Xenopus tropicalis: one gene and its partner. The protein of the gene in region 1 purifies or fractionates together with the protein of each later gene. This does not show direct contact. Links are inferred from orthologs where the notes say so. Each region holds a gene or a part of one and is shown on either strand. Other genes may lie near its edges.

Region 1 (10,672 bases):
CCCAGAGGCTATTATCCCCCCACTGCTACTATAGGCACCATCTCTCCCTACTATACCTGCTATCCCACAGCCCCAGTCCCTTCCCAGAGGCTATTATCCCCCCCACTGCTACTATAGGCACCATCTCTCCCTACTATAACTGCTATCCCACAGCCCCAGTCCCTTCCCAGAGGCTATTATCCCCCCCACTGCTACTATAGGCACCATCTCTCCCTACTATACCTGCTATCCCACAGCCCCAGTCCCTTCCCAGAGGCTATTATCCCCCCTACTGCTACTATAGGCACCATCTCTCCCTACTATACCTGCTATCCCACAGCCCCAGTCCCTTCCCAGAGGCTATTATCCCCCACTGCTACTATAGGCACCATCTCTCCCTACTATACCTGCTATCCCACAGCCCCAGTCCCTTCCCAGAGGCTATTATCCCACTGCTACTATAGGCACCATCTCTCCCTACTATCCCACAGCCCCAGTCCCTTCCCAGAGGCTATTATCCCCCCACTGCTACTATAGGCACCATCTCTCCCTACTATACCTGCTATCGCACAGCCCCAGTCCCTTCCCAGAGGCTATTATCCCCCCACTGCTACTATAGGCACCATCTCTCCCTACTATACCTGCTATCCCACAGCCCCAGTCCCTTCCCAGAGGCTATTATCCCCCCACTGCTACTATAGGCACCATCTCTCCCTACTATACCTGCTATCCCACAGCCCCAGTCCCTTCCCAGAGGCTATTATCCCCCCACTGCTACTATAGGCACCATCTCTCCCTACTATACCTGCTATCCCACAGCCCCAGTCCCTTCCCAGAGGCTATTATCCCCCCACTGCTACTATAGGTACCATCTCTCCCTACTATACCTGCTATCCCACAGCCCCAGTCCCTTCCCAGAGGCTATTATTATTGTGCATTATTGAGATTTGCTACTCTCTTCTTACCTTGAACTTCGGGACTGTGGGGATCACTAGGGGCAGACATCAGACAGTTGCCCCTTACTTACTACCACTAAAGATGGCTCCAGGTACAACGCTGCAGATTAAGTAACACAGGGACAGAGAAATATCAATGAGCGTTATTATATCTACTGAAAAAAAATGTGAAGTTGAAAAGCTCAGACAGACAATCTATGGCCATTTCATACCCTGAATCCACAAAAACACAGAGGGGGCAACGCCATGAAATGTGAGTAGTAACTCTGTCCCTTTTGCAGTGGGATGCTGGGGGAGGTTCTGTAAGGAAATGAGAAGTAACATAGCAGCCATGGCAATAAATCCACTCCCTACCCAGTATATTGTGTAGCAACGGTACAGCGGCTCCTACTGTGGGTACTAAATCTGAATGGCATTTACTCAGGGCTAAGTGTCAGTTAGAATGAGTGAGAATCAGAAGAGGCGATAAGTGAGAGGTTACACCTGAAAGATGGGGGTCCATGAAGAGACCGGACCAGCACAGAGCCTTATCTGGGTTTCTGGCAACAAAGGAAGGTCTAAGCTCTAGAACACAAGTTGTTCCACCACTCAGCGAAGGTGCAGAACGTGACTTTTATCTGAGAACATAAGCAACACCTAATGTTCTAGAGCCATCGAATGCACAGAACTGAACTGGTCTAGCACACAGCAAATACACAGAACTGGACTGCTCTAGAGCCATACCCCATAGGGACTAAGCTGACTGAGGGATATGTGGCTGCTCTATAGCGAGACAGTGGTTAGGCAGAGCATCAGGAGGGGCCCATACAGGGGCTGATAAGCTGCCAACTCTGTCTGGAGATGGGCCCCAGGCAGGGGCCACACACACGGCAATATATGAATGGGGCCCTTCCCTTTGTATCAGACTCTCCAAACTTCTCCAACGTCTCTCATTCAAGTAACAAAACTGAGATAAAATGACATTTATTTTAAAATAATACATTTCAGCCATTGCACCTGAACTCCGGGGCAGTTCTGAGTCCATAGCAACCAGGTCACTTAGTGTTGTTAGATCACTCTGCCCCCCTGTTGGTAGTGGCTCACATGGATAACCAATGGGCTCTCTCGGGGGCCCCCCATTCTCTTACAAACCCTGTCGTTTAAACCCGTTTTCCGTTCGTTTTATTGCTATCAGGCTAAACACTAATTGTCATTACAAATCACGATCATTACTAAAAACACCTTTTATTTACAAAATATGGGGCGTGTCCTTTGGGAGGTGCAAACAGTTCTGTGGGCGTGTCCCACAGCTGCTGCTGAACTATAACTCCAAACATCACAGCTACCCATTCCTACCTAACTTCTAGATGATTCAGAGGAAGCTGAATAAACTCCATCTGTCAGTGGTTTCAATGTGCCTCAAGAAGGGGCAATTGCTTCCTGGCAGTTACCCCGGGTCAGCCCAGGACAGTTAGATTGCTGAATGCCCAATGTGCTTTTCCCTACAGCACTAAATAAAGGAATTGGGGTCAGTAATAAGGGAGAAGACACAAGATAAAATCACAGTGATGCCCAATAACATTAGGATCTATTGATGATTTTCTCATAGAAAGTGATTGTGTATTTATTAAAATTGAAGACAGAGACAAATCACGGGTGATGTTTGTCTCCCATTTTAATAAATACACCCCTAAGATTGTTTGGAATCTGATCCCAATCCCCAGTCCCTAAATGAAGAGGAGTGTTGCTACAGCCAGAAAGTGGATCTGTGCCCCCCCCCAGGGATCCACCACCCCCACAGTAAGTGCTCATAATTCAGTCTTTAAAAACGCTTTATCTTCCTACATCTGCTCCTACAAATAAAAACAACCCTGGGGCAATGGGGCAGAAGGACAGACAACAAGACAGTGAACTCCCAATGGAACGGACAATATAAAATTATTGCTTGACCAGAGACCCCCCCAGCCCCCCTTTAGTGCACGCTGTTCCTGCAGGTCAGACAAGAGGAGTCTAAGGGCAGGACGCTAGGGGGTATTGCTGTGCATTTGGGGGACATATTCTTTGGGCAGTATTCCTATAAATCTACAAAATAGGCCTATTCGGACCCCACACTCACACTCACATATATATATATATATATTATATACAGGATTTCATAAGTGCAAACGTGTCAACATTGTTGATCCATTAGAGTACCCTCTGTGTCCTTCCTTCTCGGCCAATGAGATCGTAGCCGTGGGTTTGCCGTCACCGCACCACCAGGCAGGAGACGCAGAGTTTCGAGGGCCCAATGCAGTCGTCGTGGCAGAAGGCGCCACAGCCTTTACAAATGATCATGGCTTTCAGTCGACAGTAGCATTTGGAAGGGGCCGTGTCCCTGCCGGGGTCCTCGGTGAAGGCCTGGACAGAAACGGGTTGGTCGTGATCACTTGAGTCTACGATGTGGCTGGATGGGATGGTTGTGACGGTGACAGAGAAGGAGACCAGATTGTCAGCGCTGGTGGGTGTGAGATGGCCCCCTGTAGGGATGGAGGGCCCCTGCATTCCCTCGGGCGAAGTGGTGATATTGATGGTTCCTCCGTAACTGGATCCGATGAGGCTGGCGGGCCCGCCCGTGTGTATCTGCTCAGAATGGGGCGGCTGGGAGCCCTCGTGGGACTTGCTCGCCCTGAACAGCTCAGAAGCATCACCTTTCAGCTTTATGCCCAATACATTCACCATCTTGGCCTGGGCGGCCTGGATAAAGTCTCTGGCTATGTGGGACTCATCATAAATGTCCCCCCTTGATAAAGCCTGGACCGTTTCTTTCAGATCTAACATGGGGGCCTCGAGTTTTGCAGTCCTGAGTGTGGTGGGGTGACTTACGGCTATGGGGAGATATCGGGGGGCATATTCACTATCCTCTGGATTGTTCTCACTGTTTTCTTCTTCTTCGCTCTCAGTAACGGATTCTGTTTCATCGTCTCTGGGTTGAGACCTCTCTGGGTCACTCAGGTTGATGCCCCGCTCAGGACTTACAGCCTGTGCTCGCCGGAAGCTCTCGGGAACGCGGCCGTACGTAGCGATGTTTAGCAAGTAGTGCCCCGACATGGCAGGTTTAGACGTTCGCCGGCCCACAAAGCCAAACATGAACCTCTGACTGGCGGATGTGTTTTCACTCGGTTCAGCTGGATTGGGGCCGACCAATGATTTCTCTTGTTGAACCTTTCTGATCAGTGATTGGAGAGTTTGCTCTTGGGCGGTACTGCTGGCTGCTTCCTGGCTCTGTGATTGGCTAATACTGCTCAGATCTCTTCCAGAGAAGAGCTGCAGGATCCTTTGGCTGGACGGCAGCTGCCGATTTTGGCTAAGAAACCTTTCCAGCTGTTGGACAGCCATGTGTGAGGGCTTTTCTGAATCTTCTCTACTTACCATGATGCCCCCTGCAGGGGCACTAACTCCAGCTGTGTTAGTTACCCTCTCCTTCTGACCAGAACCTATAGGAATGGTCTTTACTTCCATCTTGTTGAGAGGTCTGGGCATTATCTGCTCCATGGGGACACTCTTGCCCTGCAGGAGTTGGGTAACCAGAGGGTTATTGGCGGGTATGCTAGAGCCCGTCCTTATGGGCACCCTCTGAGTGCTTGGAATGGGACCTGCTGGCTGACTGGGTGCCTGAGCTTTGGCTGGTGTGGAAAGGTTAGAAGTTACTGCCTGAGACAGGACAGGCCTTGGTGGGATTGTGTCGACAGGCCTTGGTGGGATTGTCTCAGCTGGCCTTGGTGGGATTGTCTCAGCTGGCCTTGGTGGGATTGTCTCGGCAGGCCTTGGTGGGATTGTCTCGGCAGGCCTTGGTGGGATTGTCTCGGCAGGCCTTGGTGGGATTGTCTCGGCAGGCCTTGGTGGGATTGTCTCGGCAGGCCTTGGTGGGATTGTCTCGGCAGGCCTTGGTGGGATTGTCTCGGCAGGCTTTGGTGGGATTGTCTCGGCAGGCTTTGGTGGGATTGTCTCGGCAGGCTTTGGTGGGACTGTCTCCGTAGGCCTTGGTGGGATTGTCTGAGTGCCTAAAGAAATTCTAGGTCTGATTTGAGCAGCTAGGTTGGCCCGGATACCTTTTAGGTTCTGTGGTGATGAGCAGCTTGTGCTTGATGGAGGTATAGCTGTAACCCCAGGGGCCACAGTGCCAGATGTTGCCACCAGTCTATCAGATAACGGATTGGGCATTCTGATGCTGGCACTGCTCCGGGCAGGTAAGGGACAGCCATAGGCTAGAGATGCCTGGGCTCCTGTTATTGGGTGTCTGGGTTGTAGACTGGATTTTTGCAGTAGCTGTGTTCTTGCTGTACTGTCAGGTGATACCTGCAGTGGGTTCTGGGTCTCCCTGGAAGTCTGGGTGCATGATGGAAGGGCTGGATTTCCCCTCTCACCTCTCCAGCTTCCAGTACTTCCCACGTCCAGTACTCCGGCCCTGTGTCCTGTTTCACTGGTGCCAGCTGCTGGATTCCTCGCCTCTCCTCCAGGTCTGGCTCCTCCTCCAGGTCCGGCTCCTCCTCCAGGTCCGGTTCCCCCTCCAGGCCCTGGCCCTGGCACTGATGAACCGACAGAGAGGCCAGCTGATGTTGCTGCTGCCGCCGCTGCTGCCCTCTGGGCTCTGGCCAGCTGGGCTTTGGCTTTGATGTCTGCCAAGGTTCTTGCTCCTGTTCTGCTGGGACTGGTGCCGGTGGTTGGAAAATAGGGCCTGGAAGAGACCCGGCTGCTGGGAAAGGGCTTTGTAGGTAACCAAGAGACAGGGATCTAAAGGAGAGACAGAAATAGTACCCTCATTAGTACACAGTCAGTACAGAATGGTATCACTAGCTGACACACTAAATGATTGACAAGAAATGTCCAAACTAATAAAAGCAGTGCAGGCTGAATTCTGGTTTAAAGGGGAAGTTTACCTTTGTAAACCTTCTGTATTGCCTTTTTGCACATTTTCTGTCCTGCAGCTTGGAACCTGGGAGGGGCTTTTGTAAAGACTAAGACTGAGTGCTGGGAAGGGTGCAAAGTGAAAAAACACTGGTTTACACCCATTTTGTGCACTTTGCCCCTGCAATGTTCTTTGTAAATGAGCCCTACTATAATCTCCCAGGGCTCCTGTACCCCTGGATTCATACACAGAGGCCATTGCAGACATTTTTTCAATTTTATTGCCCCGGGCCAATAACCCCTGACATCCAAGCAGTTACCATTCACTGGTGTGGCGAAGGCAAGACTTTGAAAGCAAACATCTGATTGGTAGTTATGGGCTAGTGACCATGATTACTAGTGGGCAAACCAGGAAGTTATGTTTAACAGTGGAGACAACAGCAGTGAATGGGAACAGACAGTCCTGTTTTACCTTAAGTGGGGGCACTTTTTGTTCCGACCCCTGGGCCGTCCCTTTGGTACTGGGGCTACACAAGTCACGAAATGGCCGCTGGATTTCTTGCTGCTCCGATATCCGTATGCATTTCCCAGCATTATCCGAATCCCCGGCGCCCACATCCAGCTTCCTCTTGACTCGTGTGCCGATTGCGAGCTCCACTTTCTCTGGCGACCCCTCTGCCCCGGAACCCTGAGCCGGCGCAGCCTTGGCTGTGGGAGTGCTGGGAGGCTGCATATGGACAGGACTGGTTAGTGGGGTTGGGGTTGGTGTACCCTGGCTCTCTGAGTCTGTCTCCTCCGGCTTAGGGGATATTTTATGCCCAGTCTCTTTGCTGGGAACTGGGGTTATAACCTCTGCAGCGCCCTCTGCTGTCTTCACAGGAACAGTGCTGACTTTCTCTTTGGTATCCGCTGGCATGACTTCGGGGGGGCGCTGGGTATCACCGGCTGTTGGTAATTCGGCCTTTACATGAACAGTGCCTTCATCTTCCTTCTTTATTGGTGGGCCTTCATTTATACCCTTCTGGGCTGTGGTCTCAACCTTGGCCTCAACCGGCTGGAGTTCAGGGCACGGGTCGGACTTACACTGTTCCTTTGGAGGGGAGACTTGGGTTCTGGCCAAAGTATCGTTGGTCTCTGCAATCAGCTCTTTGTAATCGTCAGGGTTTAGCCCAGAGCTGAGAATAAAACAGAAAGATAAGTTGTAATTGGACCTGCAATTTGCCCCCGAGCCACTGAGTCTATGGGGCAGGAACATGATTCTTAGTTCTGCCCAGTTCAGTGCTGATTTGTGAATAAAGAAGATACAAAATGGATGGGAATGTCCCACTCACTTCTCCCCATAGTAACTCTCATAGAAGCGCTCCTTCCACGACTCCACCTTCTTCTCTTTCTCAATTTCCTGGCGGATACGAAGCTGCATCTCTGGGGTGAATTCCCCTGGATGGGACAGAAAGAATCATATTCCTCACTCTTTATTGGTCAGGTTCTCTGCCATATGAAATATACTGGCCCGTGTTGTGCTGATGCATTGTACCAATGGCTATGGCTGTTTGAGACAGATTAGAGGCATCCGCCAATGAAACGGCACGTCTGGGTGTTATATACAATATATACAACAGCCCAGTATCAAGAATATAGGGGGTTAAACCCAGCCAGAGGCCCCTCTAGGATTCCGATGTTCATGATCCCCATCCTCTCACCTTCTGAGAGCCGCTCCTTCCAGCTCTGGGACGCCGAGGTAAAGAACTCGTTGTTTAGGGCGGAACTGTTGAGCTTCATCAGGCCGTCGGGACCAGTCTGGAACGACAACTCACATCATATGCAAAGCCCCGTCTCTACTACAACAAAACGGGCCTTCTCTACAAAGGACACTCCCCCTTAAAGGAACAGTTCGGTGTAAAAATGAAACTGGGTAAAATAGACAGACTGTGCATATTTGTAATATAGTTAGTAGTAGTCAATAGTGTTCTGGCTATTATGTTAGACATCTGCTCACTCCAACCTTTATAAATTACATTTTTGCCTAACTAACTATATATATATAAATATTTTTTATTGTACCCAGTTTCATTTTTACACTGAACTACTCCTTTAAGCCATATGTAAAAGGGGTGGCTGATACACTACCTGCCCCCTGGTATGGGGACGCCCAACCCACGTTACTGCATGATGGTACTCACTGGTCGGTCCACTTCAGGCAGCAGGAGGAGGAGCCGTTGCTGACAGTCCCCGGGCAGGAGTGAGAAGGTGTGTTTGTTTATCAGTGCCCGTAGGTTGGTATTGACCAAGATGGAGTCCGGTGTCTCTACGTCGATCTCTGCGCATTTTGTTCTTTTTATATGTCCTGCACGTGAGTGTAAAGAGTAAATGTCATACCCTGTGACTGTGGCACAATACTCCCCTCACACAGTGCCCAGAGCACCCACAGCAGTACCACTCTACCACCCATATATATTGCCCAGAGCACCCACAACAGTGCCACTATACCACCCATATATACTGCCCAGAGCACCCACATTAGTGAAGCAGAACCCCCTCCGGCAGTCAGGCACTGCCCACAGCATGTATGGCGCAGCAGGGCTCAGCTTTCTGGCTACATTTGCAGGTACAGGTGACCCACAGTTGGCACTAAGGTCTGTCAATATGATTGGTTGGCAGGGGCAGTTACAGCGGTGCTTACTGGCTTGCAGCCGGTCTGATCTCGGCAATGCCTTCTTCCCCAGTCCATGTAGAGATGCCAGGGAGGTGCCGGATGGCGCAGAGATGTGGGCATTGCTTGCTTGGCCCTCTGGCTGTTTGGCTTCCCATGCTGCACACAAGGAACAGAAGGGGGGGTCACTGTGAGTGGCACGGGGCAATCATGGCTCTTTTATACCCTCAGGGCTGAATAATGGCACAACCCCTCGTGGTATAACATTACGTAGGCACGGGTGCCATGCAAACTGGCAAGATGAGCCTGGGGCAGGACGTACACAGGATTATAGGGGGGTTCACCTTTCAGTATGATATAGAATGGCCAGTTATAAGCAACTTTTCAATTGGACTTCATTATTTATTCATTATAGTTTTTGAAGTATTTGCCTTCTTCTTCTCTTTGCAGCTTTTAAACGGGGGGTCACTGACCCCGGCAGCTAGAAACTATCGCTCTGTGAGGCTCCAGTTTTACTGTTATTGTTACTTTTTAGTATTTATTTTTCTATTCAGCCCCTCCCCTATTCATATACCAGTCTCTCATTCAAAACACACCCTGGTTGCTAAGGTAATTTGGACCCTAGCAACCAAATAGCTGCTGAACCTCCAAACAGGAGAGCTGTCGAACAACATTTCTGTGATTATGGGTCTGTGATTAAGTGCCACACTCTGTATGTGAATGGTCCATACACTGCTGAACAGCCTATCGGCGACAAGGGGAGGAGCTAGTGATGTAGGATAGATGTATAGGCAACATACTGTGGGTTGGGGTTGGCTTGGCAGGGGCAACATTGTTTGCAGTCTTCACTGTAGTCAGCAGGAGGCGCTGGCTGGCAGGGACTGGCATTCCCACCCTCTGCTGCTGCTTCTTCCTTTGCTGTTGCTGCTTCAAAGCCTGTGAGGGAGAGAGAAACATGAGTACATGGCAGTAAGCAAGAGGGGCTGAGAAGATGGAGCAGGGTAAACTAATTTATCTGCCTTTAATGAGGAGGTGAGCAGAAACCTAGACTCTGGAATGGCAGTGGATGTGATTTGCTTAGACTTTGCTAAAGCGTTTGATACAGTACCTCACAGAAGGTTAATGATCAAATTGAGGAATATTGGCCTAGAACATAATATCTGTAATTGGATAGAGAACTGGCTGAAGGATAGAGTACAAAGAGTGGTGGTAAATGGAACATTTTCTAATTGGGCCAGTGTGGTTAGTGGGTACTGCAGGGGTCAGTCCTTGGGCCTTTGCTTTTTAACTTGTTTATTAATGACCTGGAGGGGGGCATAGACAGTACTGTTTCTATTTCTGCTGATGACACAAAATTGTGCCAAACTATAAGTTCCATGCAGGATGTGCCGCTTTGCAGAGTGATTTGACTAAATTGGAAAACTGGGCAGCAAACTGGAAAATGAGGTTCAATGTTGATAAGTGCAAAGTTCTGCCCTTTGGTAGAAATAATATAAACGCAAACTATCTACTGAATGGTAGTGTGTTGGGGGCATCCTTAATGGAGAAGGATCTAGGGGTTTTTGTAGATAACAAGTTGCCTAATTCCAGGCAGTGTCATTCTGTGGCTACTAAAGCAAATAAAGTGCTGTCTTGTATAAAAAGGGCAGTAACAGTGAGTATGGGGGGCAGTTACAGTGAGTATGGGGGGCAGTTACAGTGAGTATGGGGGGCAGTAACAGTGAGTATGGGGGGCAGTTACAGTGAGTATGGGGGGCAGTTACAGTGAGTATGGGGGGCAGTTACAGTGAGTATGGGGGGGCAGTTACAGTGAGTATGGGGGGCAGTTACAGTGAGTATGGGGGGCAGTTACAGTGAGTATGGGGGGCAGTAACAGTGAGTATGGGGGGCAGTAACAGTGAGTATGGGGGGCAGTTACAGTGAGTATGGGGGGCAGTAACAGTGAGTATGGGGGGCAGTTACAGTGAGTATGGGGGGCAGTAACAGTGAGTATGGGGGGCAGTTACAGTGAGTATGGGGGGCAGTAACAGTGAGTATGGGGGGCAGTTACAGTGAGTATGGGGGGCAGTTACAGTGAGTATGGGGGGCAGTAACAGTGAGTATGGGGGGCAGTAACAGTGAGTATGGGGGGCAGTTACAGTGAGTATGGGGGGGCAGTTACAGTGAGTATGGGGGGCAGTAACAGTGAGTAAGGGGGGCAGTAACAGTGAGTATGGGGGGC
Region 2 (10,306 bases), on another chromosome or scaffold:
AAGATGGAGAGTTGTTGGTCTGGCTGTTATGTGGTTGTGCCACTTGGTTTGCCTTTTTGTGTTATAAGAAATGTATTGGTTGTTTTCAGTTACATGTATGTTTGATACGATAGAAGATACATACTTTGACATAGCTGGTCAGCTTGAAGTATATTGCAATATATGGACAAATAGTACCGGTTATGCTTAAAGCTTTATATACAGAAAGTCTTTATGTCCTAATTATATACTGAGCAGGTGATGCCAAGACAACAGTTGTGCCACAATAGACATTTTTATCACCGATTAAAAAAAAACCAAAAAAAATAAACACAAGAAACATTGAATTTTCCACTTGAAAAGTTTACTGAGGGAAGAAAACTCAAATCCATACATCTGAAACAGAGCAATATCCAACAATTTCTTTTAAAAAACAAAAAACCCACAAGATCAACTGATATTTTATTAAACCAAATAGGCATTGTGCCGAGGCATTTTCCTTCCTACAGAATGGCAGCACATGCTTTCTCTTTCACACAAACAAATGCATTTCACATCCACACGAGATCAGCACAAATGAATAGGCCCGAGTTTCATTATTTCCCAACATTCCACCAGTGAAACATTTCAGGAAGTGGCCTCCGTGCAAGATTTAAAGGTACATACACAGAAAAACCTGCTTTATTTCTTCATACACAAACTGCACACGCTAACCTCCCGTATTTACACAGACCTGCGGCCCAGAGGAAGCCGCTGCCCGTAGCGCACTGTACTAAACACACAGATTAATAAGCTAGTAGGAAATTCAAATAAAGCAGACAATTTAAGGGGGAGGGTTAAAGACATCTCATCTATACCAAAAGAACACACAGACCAGTTTGCTTGTAAACAGATGCCAGACATTAAAAGGCTACAAGTGGTTTATAAAACCTATAAAAAAGGACTAGAACACCATTAATGATGCTTGGGTTTTTTTTTTTATCTTTAAACCTGCACAGTTAGCTAGGAGAGTCAAGCTGCGATTTTTGAGCCAGCAGACAAACACAAATTTATAGGTTTAAAAGCTCAAATTCCAAATATACTGCAATACAAGGCTAAAAATGTACATGAACCAGTAAAACTGCCCATGAAGTCATATTTGGATGGCAACTTGCAAAATCTGATGGAGGTTTAGCAAAAGAACAAAAAAAAAGCAAACTAAAAGTCTAGAGACCAGCGGGTGTTTCAATGATTCCATTCTGTTGCACAGCGAGTCGGCTTGCGTGTGCGTCGTAGCCCCCCGTCATGGTTAGCCAATAGATTCAAAGCTAGCAGGGAGTTAAGCAGATTCAGTGCTTTCCACAGTCTTGATGAGATGATCAGTTTTGTTTCCAGCAGAATAATGCTCCCACATTTGTAAATACAATCTCTCCAGATCTATTGTGTATTGTTTGGTATTGAAAAGTGGGCTGGATATCCTTTGCTTCCAGACCTTAGAGCGGATCTTTTTCAGGCTGCAAAAGATAAGATTTCATTAATAAAATGACTGCTTGCACAAACTGGACAGCTGCTGAATGGCCAAATAGTTTAAAACCAGAAAGAATAATAACCAACTGCAAATTGTCTCAAAATAGCATTTTCAACATCATACTGACAGTTAAAGGAGAAGGAAAAGCTAAGTCACTTGGGGGTGACCTCGTACGGAGAGAACAGCACCAGCCCGGGGTAGCAGTGAGCGCTTCCTCCTTCCTGCTTTGCTTGCTCGCGCATGCGCAGTAGAGTGAATAGTGGAACTTTAACAGAGAAGTCGGCTTTTCTCTCTACTGCGCATGCGCCTGTCATTTAGTCCTTCCAAAACAAAGGCGGAAGGAGAAAGCGCTCTGCTACAGGTACCCCGGGCTGGTGCTGTTTTCTCCTAACAAGGTAAGAGATTAAAGTCACTAGGGGGTGCCTAACATTCTGGAACCCCCAAGTGACTTTGCCTTTCCTTGTCCTTTAAAAGTGTACAACCCCTTTAACCCTCTACCTCTGCTGCCGAGGGACGTGATGAGGAAAAAAGAATTGTCTACTTTGAAAACAGAAATATGGCTGGTTAAGTGTATGCTGCAATCCAGCCTTACATACATAAAGCAGGAAGCACTAACCTGCCCATTTCTGGGCATGTAACCAGGGGGCCCATGAAAGACAACCATGAATGGTATGGTTTCCCCTGCTGTCACTGAGCGTATTTCTTTCCCATACCTTTTAGCCTGATTTTTCTTTTGTTTTCAGACTTGTGTAACAGACAGGAGGAATTATGTTCCTCCTTCCTTGATTTGCAGTGTTACATTTTGAATAAATCCTATACCATAATACTTTTAACTTACTATTCCAGATCAGTTCCGAGTTTCACAGCAGTGTCCTCATAATCTTGCCTGCCTTTAGCGATTAGCTCGGGGCAGCCGAGACATGTAAGCTGTGAAGCAGCCACTCGTGATGCAAGTGTATCGCCTACAGACAGGGAAATGCAGTAAATGTTAGCCATACCATCAAATCTGCATACACATGTAATCAAGGAAAACCAAGAGATGTTACCATACAGAGTATAATTCAAGTTACTGACATCACATATTCGGAAAAAAAAACCAAAACAAAAAAAAAAAACAAAACACACATTTTTTTCCCCAGTAACGGTTTCCAAGTGGGGCTGACAGTTATTATCAGGGCTGTGGAGTCGGTAGATAAATTCTCCGACTCCTCAGTTTGATACTTCCGACTCCTCTGTTTTTAATATGCTAATGTATTTATACATTCATACAGTCAATGAAAAGCTTTATGGTCACTCACGTGGGCTTTATTCTTATAGCAGAGAAGTCATTAATTATGACTGTTTGTGAATTGGGACATTTAAACTTGCTTTATTTTTTTTTTTATTCCCATTTAAATTTAGTGGGAGTCAGAGTCGGTTCATTTTTTGCCGACTCCGACTCCAGGTACCCAAAATTGCCTCCGACTCCACAGCCCTGGTTATTATACCTAGATTTAAAGCACAGCCCTTACTACAGATGAGGGATATAGTATTTTTCTATTTAATCTCACATACAGAGAGCTTTGGGCCCAGCTCTGGGTGCAGACCCAGGTGCATGCTGGGGGAACGTGCATGTTTAAAATAAAGTAAATGCCCCAGCTCATTTATTATGCATGTGATGGGGAGGGGGGGCATAACAAGTAAACTGGGGTGCATGTATGTGCCCCAACTTGGTCACCCCCACCGCAAGCTTCCTTCCGGTGTAGGAGTCAGAGCACCCATTCAAAAATCCTTTTGTTTCTGGAGCACATGCTCTGTTAACCTGCACCACTGGTGGGAAAAGAAAATATTTTAGGCAATAGATGCCCTTTCAGAGGAAAATACATTCTGTCTAATCTTTTCATTACTAATTTATTATTATAAAGCAACAGGTCACCTCTCGCGCAATAAACTGAGTTAGTTTAACATGAAATAATATAAACAGCCAAATCCTTTGCTGGCTTCCACACGGGCAGAATCCTATTATGCAGGGAGTATACAGTATACAGGCAATTGTAATCTAACAAGAACCAGGAGGAACTTAGAAACACAGTCATGTATAAGGCTAAAACTGAAATATAAAAACCATACAAGTTTCATAATTAAAATGGTCAATAAGCATGTATATATGAAGTTGGGTACCACAGAACTGCAGTATGCGTATGAATGCTGGTTGCAGCAGATACAATTTAACTGGCTTAACACCAACTGCATGTTTACTTCTTGAACTGAAGAAGCTGCTCGGATGAGTAGTGAAACGTCTTCAATGATTACCAAACAAGTCCAGTTGCTTCAAATTTATTTATACTAGATATACCATGACCTGGATGAATGAAAATCTTCATAGACTTCTTGAGACATATAACTAACAGCTACAATTAAATATCTGTCACACCAAAACTTAAATTACCTAAAACAATACTAATTTTTGTTGCATAAAGAAACTTTCTGCAGACTCTTTACCTGGCATGGTGACCATGGGTGTTCCTGCCCAGAGCACATCCATGCCAGTGGTGTGCCCATTGCAGAGAGGTGTATCTAAGCAAACATCAGCCAACTGTCCTCTGCGCACATGTTCTTCCTTAGGAGCAACTGGAGAGAAAATGATCCGGGACTGGGGAAGGCCCATATTCTGTGCGTACTGCTGGATATTTGGCTCCCCAACTGCTGGGAATCTTAATAGCCACAGAACACTGTTTGGGACACGCTTTAAAATCTAGGACAAACAAAAAGTTTCAAATGGAAGATGTTAAGCAGTGCATAAGGATAAGAAATAGTTGACTGTGTTTAGATAAAGTGTCACATGACATCCCTGTCACCATTTACTGAGAAAACATGATAATGATGTATCACTGTAAGGTATGGCAAGCTATCAGCAACACATCTAGATAGAATCTGCTCTTCCTGTATAGCAAGTTTGATCAAAATGTGATCCAACATAGTACATATATTTGGCATTAAGTAAATCCACAGGGTGTGGGTGTTGCTGACCCTTGTGGTCAAAAAACAATTGCTCTTTGAGGCTACATTTACCCGATACATACACTAGACAACCTACACACAAGGGTTTGGCCAAAAATGCTGTTATTTTCCCCTAGCTGTGCCTTTCACTAACCAAAAGGTATAAAACAGAACCTTAATTGATGGCAGTTGTATAACACAATATACTTACATTTGCCCACATCTGTAATGTGGAAGGGTCAATCTTGTAAAGCTGGTTAAAGTTGCAGTACACAACCGCATCCTCAGGGAGTCCATACTGTGAGCGTGTGGTGACAATGATGGTACGAGGCACTTCTTCACCTGTCGCCGCTTTGTTATTTATCTAAAATATTCAAATCACTTTGTTATGCCATCTTTTTCAACATTTTTTGCCTATTGTTTTAATTAGAAAATAATAAGTAAAGTAACTTCCGGTTCAACAAATCAGAACCCCACTCTGACAGCAGTCAGCCTCAGCCTTCACTGGGAACACTTTAACAATTAAATGAACACCAATAGTCCAAGTTGTAAACACACGGAGTGGTGTTCATAATCAGAATAAGCTATACAATGACTCAAATTCCAGGCTTGCTTCTTTTTGAAGCAGATCCACACTTATAGGTAAGAACATTATACTTATACTATATATTTAGCCATCATTTATATTACATTCCACATCACTTTGTTAAATTTACCTGGGTTGTTGCAAGACCATTGCTGATGTTGAATCCATTTATTGTTATCTGAATTTGCCCCCGATTTATCATTTCAATCACAGCTTCTGCTATGCTGCTCATAGGAATCACTGGCATGTTTAGTGCAGAGTTATTGTCAACATTATCTCCGCTGTCTGGGCCTTTCATCTTTTGGAAGGGGGGAAAAAAATTTTTTTTTAAGAAAGCAAGGAGGCAAAGAAAACAACTATACCTCAAAAATAGCAATATCCTATACTATGGGCAGCTAAATGTCAAACTTTTGAATTAGGGTCATATTATAAACATTCTAGTTTATACAATCTCTTGGTACCCACAACTACTGTTTTTATGCCATACCTGACCACTACCTCCCCCGCTATCATAATATGGCTATATTCACTTAAAAGGCAAGGTAAGGACATAATCAATAGAAGGCAATACAGACCTTACAGAACATTTCACACATCAGGATTTACATTTGGACTTCCTCAACATGGTAAAGTACATTAAATGCAATTAAAATAGTTTTTCCATAAAAGCAAAGAATGGTGCTTGATAAAAATCTAAAGTTAACTCTCACCTTTACAATTTTCACATCAGGTAAAGATTCCAGGAAAGCTTTCAGATCAATTCCATTGAGTACGATTCTATTGTCATAAATATGGCCATTGGATTTAAAGTCTATGACAGCTTTTTTCTGGGGAAACAAGATTTAGTTTAGTTGATTAAAGACTGTTTGTAAAGTATGGAAGGCATTTCTAAGAATACGACTACTACTAAAAAAATTAAAAAACGTTTTATTTTTTTAGTAGTAGTCGTATTCTTAGAAATGCCTTCCATACTTTACAAACAACTACTAAAAAAATAAAAAAGGAGATTTTGTGATACTCACCGTTAAATCTCTTTCTCCTCAATGGCTTGGGGGACACAGGGACAGTGGGTATAGCTCCACCTGCAGGAGGCAGGACACTAGGTAGGAATTAATAAAAAAAAGGAATGCTCCTCCCCTTCAGCTATACCCCACAGCGCAGCCCAGAGAGGCTCAGTTTTGTCTAACAAAGAGGTAACCAAAGTAACCATAAACAAACCGTTATAACAATGTAACATAAAAACATGGCAGATGGCGCAAAGAGGATTCCGCTTCCGGGGAGGGGAGCCCTGTGTCCCCCAAGCCATTGAGGAGAAAGAGATTTAACGGTGAGTATCACAAAATCTCCTTTTCTCACACAATAGCTTGGGGGACACAGGGACAGTGGGGACATACCAAAGCAGTCCCCTGAGCATAATGAGCGGTGGGCAGGAAGCGGAGTCGGAGTTAGACTGCCGCTGCTTGCAGCACCTTGCGTCCAAAGCGTGCGTCAGATGCAGCAAATGCGTCAAATTTGTAGAACTTAACGAAGGAATGGATGGAGGTCCACGTGGCAGCCTTGCACAGCTGCTCAGCTGAGGCCTGGTTTCTGAACGCCCAAGAGGTACTGACAGATCTGGTGGAATGGGCCCTGATCGATTGAGGGGCCTGTTTTCCCTTGGAAATGTATGCTCTCCGAATGGTCTCTCTGAGCCACCGGGAGATGGTGGACTTAGAGACAGGTTGCCCGAGACGGGTGCCCGTGGGACTGACCAGGAGGGCATCAGACTTGCGGATTTCCACCGTGCGGTGAACGTAAAATTTGAGAGCACGTACTGCGTCCAATGAGTGGAGAGCGACTTCCTTCGGCGATTTGGGATTGGGGCAGAAGGAAGGAATGGTGAGTTCCTGGTTGATGTGAAACTTGGTCACCACCTTGGGAAGAAAGGACGGTATAGTACGCAGTACCGCCTTGTCCAGGTGGAAGATGAGAAAGGGGGACTTGCAGGAGAGCGCGTTCAGCTCGGACACGCGTCGGGCTGATGAGATGGCCAGAAGGAAGACCACCTTGCGGGTGAGCCAGATAAGAGGAATGGTGGCGAGGGGCTCGAAGGGGGGCTCTTGTAGTGCCCTTAGGACTAGGTTAAGGTCCCAGGGGGCACATGGATACCGAAAGGGGGGTCTGATGTGTGTGACGCCCTGCATGAAGGTCCTGATGTCCGGTAGGAGGGCGAGGCGCTCCTGAAAGAGAACCGAGAGTGCCGATATTTGTGCCTTGAGGGAACCCAGGGCTAGGCCCTTGTCGAGGCCGGCCTGAAGGAAACTCAGAATGGCTGGAATAGAGATAGTCTGGTAGGAGACGTTTTCCTGGGAGCACCAGTCCCGGTAGATTCTCCAGACCCTGTGGTAGGCTTGAGCGGATACAGGCTTCCGCGCTGCTAGAAGAGTTTTGATAACGGGTTCTGAGAACCCTTTTCTCCGAAGGATCAGGGATTCAGTAGCCACGCCGTCAAATGCAGAGACCTTGGGTTTGGGTGGAGGAAGGGACCCTGGGAAAGAAGGTCCGGATCCTGCGGTAGATGCCACGGTTCTTCTTGAGACAGAGACAGGAGGTCTGAGAACCAGGTCCGGCGCGGCCAGTAGGGGGCGACGAGGATGGTCCTCACTCCTTCCTGTTTGATCTTTTTGATGACACGCGGAAGCATGGGCAACGGGGGAAAAATGTAAGCCAGGCTGAAGGACCATGGTGTTGTCATGGCATCCGATGCCTCTGCCCGAGGATCCCTCGAGCGTGCTAGGTATCGAGGTAGCTTGTGGTTGATTCGAGATGCCATCAGGTCCACCTCTGGTGTGCCCCACCTCTGTGTGAGTGTCTGAAATACGCTGGTCTTGAGGGACCACTCCCCCGGGTCCATCGTCTGCCGGCTGAGGTAGTCGGCCTCCCAGTTGTCCACGCCGGGGATGTAGACGGCCGAGAGGAGGGAGTGGTGAAGTTCTGCCCATCTGAGGATGTGGCTGGTCTCCGTGAAGGCTTGATGGCTCCTTGTCCCGCCCTGGTGGTTGATATAGGCCACTGCGGTGGCGTTGTCCGTTTGAATGCGGATCGGCTGGCCCTCGAGGAGAGTCTGCCAGTGGACCAGAGCGAGGCGGATGGCCCGAAGCTCGAGAATATTGATGGGGAGCAGCGATTCCGAATGGGACCAGGAGCCCTGGGCTATCCGTCCCTCCAGGACTGCTCCCCAGCCGGATAGGCTGGCATCGGTAGTAAGGATGCGCCAGGTGGGATCGGCGAGGGAGCGGCCGCGTGTAAGATTGGTGGTGTTGAGCCACCACCGCAGGGACACCTTGGTCTTTGTGGAGAGCAGAGTCTGTTGGGAGAGACTCCTGTTCCTGTGCCACACTGAGAGAATGTTCCATTGTAGGGGCCGGAGGTGAAATTGAGCGAACGGCACGGCCTCGATGGAGGACACCATCGATCCGAGAACCTTCATGCAGAACCGAAGAGATGGTCGAGGTAATGAGAGAAGCAGCCGGACTAGGGCCTGAATGCGAAGTACCTTCTCTGGAGGAAGGAAGAGTCTCTGAGCCCTGGTGTCGAAGGTCAGACCAAGGAACGTCATCACCTGGCTTGGACGAAGTGAGGATTTGGCAAGGTTTATCTTCCAGCCGAAGTCCTGTAGGATGCCCATGGATAGTCGGAGGTGCTCCTCCGCTGTCTGGAAGGAAGGGGCCTTTATGAGCAGGTCGTCCAAGTAGGGGGTGATTGAGTCCCCCTTGGACCTGATCACTGCTGCAGTGACCGCCATGATCTTGGTGAAGACGCGGGGGGCGGAAGAGAGGCCGAATGGCAGAGCCGTAAATTGGAAGTGGAGGTTGCGGTAGGCAAAACGTAAGAACCTCTGATGGCGAGGGGAAATGGGGACGTGAAGATAGGCATCCTTGACGTCCAGCGCGGTGAGGAACTCCTGCGGTCCCATGGCCGCAATAACCGATCGCAGGGATTCCATCTTGAATTTGGTGTAACGGATAAATTTGTTTATACCCTTGAGATCGAGGATCGGTCGGAAGGAACCGTCCTTCTTGGGAACAAGGAACAGATTGGAATAATATCCCTGAAATCTCTCGGTCTGAGGTACCGGGGATATTACTGCGGCAGCCTGTAGGTCCTGGATAGCTGTCTGAAATGCCTGGAGCAGGCGTGGGTCCCCGGGAGTTCGGGACATGAAAAAGCGGTGAGGGGGGGGTGCTGTGAACTCGAGGTGGTAGCCTCGTGTTACGACCTCGCAGACCCAAGAGTCTTGGGCGTGAGTCTGCCAATGCGCCCTGAACAGCTGCAGTCTTCCTCCTACTGGGGCTTGCAGCAAAGGGACGGACGGATAGTCAGGCAGAGGTGGACTTGTCCGTCTGTTTGTGGGTGGGTTTCCGGGGTTGCCAGGCGGAGCGGGGCTTGTTGTTGAATCTGCCGCGGGAGGCTGAGGATTGTGAGGAGTCGGATGGTTTGGAGGATCTGTATCCGGAGCCACGAAAAAATCTTCCCCTGCGAAAGGAAGGCCGGGGCCTGTTTTGTGGGAGGAGGGTGCTCTTCCCACCTGTGGCCTGGCTTATGATTTTATCCAAATCTGGACCGAACAGTAATTTGCCCTTAAAGGGAAGGGAAGTCAGGGATTTCTTGGAAGAAAGGTCCGCTGACCAAAGTTTAAGCCAAAGTGATCTGCGAGCGGCTACCGTGAGGGCCGAGGACCTACAGGTTAATTGGGCGGCATCAAGGGTTGCTTCGCAAATGAAGGAGTTAGCCTCCTTGATCTGGGACACCATGGGGACCAGTTCCTGTCTAGGTACTCCCGAGAGGATGCTGTCCAAAAGAGTTTGGGACCAGGACTGAATTGCCCTGCTAACCCAAGCGGCAGCGAAGGTGGGGCGCAGGGCTGTCCCAGAGGCTGAAAAGGCCGAACGCAAGAACCCCTCCAATTTCTTGTCCATTGCGTCCTTGAAGGAGGACGCATCAGGGACTGGAAGGGCCGTATTTTTGGAAAGGCGCGACACCGGAGCATCTACGACTGGCGGAGAAGACCAGGTGTCCATGGTTTCCTGTGGAAAGGGATAAAGACGTTGGAAACGCTTGTTGGACTGAGATCGCCTTTCGGGGTTATCCCATTCAGATTGCACAATATTATCTAATTGTGCATGAGAAGGAAAGCAAACAGACTGTTTCTTGTGCCTCTTGAAAAGAAGCTTAGAGGCATCGGCGAGGTTGGAGGAATCCCCTAGGTTGAGGGT

The links. The genes of interacting proteins can lie anywhere in the genome.
Region 2: the proteins of asxl2 (region 1) and ogt purify together in Homo sapiens (affinity purification with mass spectrometry; 3 studies listed by BioGRID and IntAct, with this or other methods). This does not show direct contact. The link is inferred for Xenopus tropicalis from reciprocal best matches to the Homo sapiens genes ASXL2 and OGT.

Annotation. Positions count from the first base shown.
Region 1 is NC_030681.2:154,174,874-154,185,545, forward strand, and holds the end of asxl2 (putative Polycomb group protein ASXL2), read right to left. Parts: intron 9,388-10,672; coding exon 9,252-9,387; intron 8,611-9,251; coding exon 8,482-8,610; intron 8,146-8,481; coding exon 7,982-8,145; intron 7,599-7,981; coding exon 7,502-7,598; intron 7,239-7,501; coding exon 7,133-7,238; intron 6,977-7,132; coding exon 6,274-6,976; intron 5,688-6,273; coding exon 3,162-5,687; 3' UTR 1,256-3,161; downstream 1-1,255.
Region 2 is NC_030684.2:44,058,096-44,068,401, forward strand, and holds the end of ogt (UDP-N-acetylglucosamine--peptide N-acetylglucosaminyltransferase 110 kDa subunit), read right to left. Parts: intron 5,879-10,306; coding exon 5,762-5,878; intron 5,350-5,761; coding exon 5,182-5,349; intron 4,830-5,181; coding exon 4,677-4,829; intron 4,221-4,676; coding exon 3,968-4,220; intron 2,449-3,967; coding exon 2,325-2,448; intron 1,473-2,324; coding exon 1,298-1,472; 3' UTR 327-1,297; downstream 1-326. UniProt on the Homo sapiens protein: Catalyzes the transfer of a single N-acetylglucosamine from UDP-GlcNAc to a serine or threonine residue in cytoplasmic and nuclear proteins resulting in their modification with a beta-linked N-acetylglucosamine (O-GlcNAc).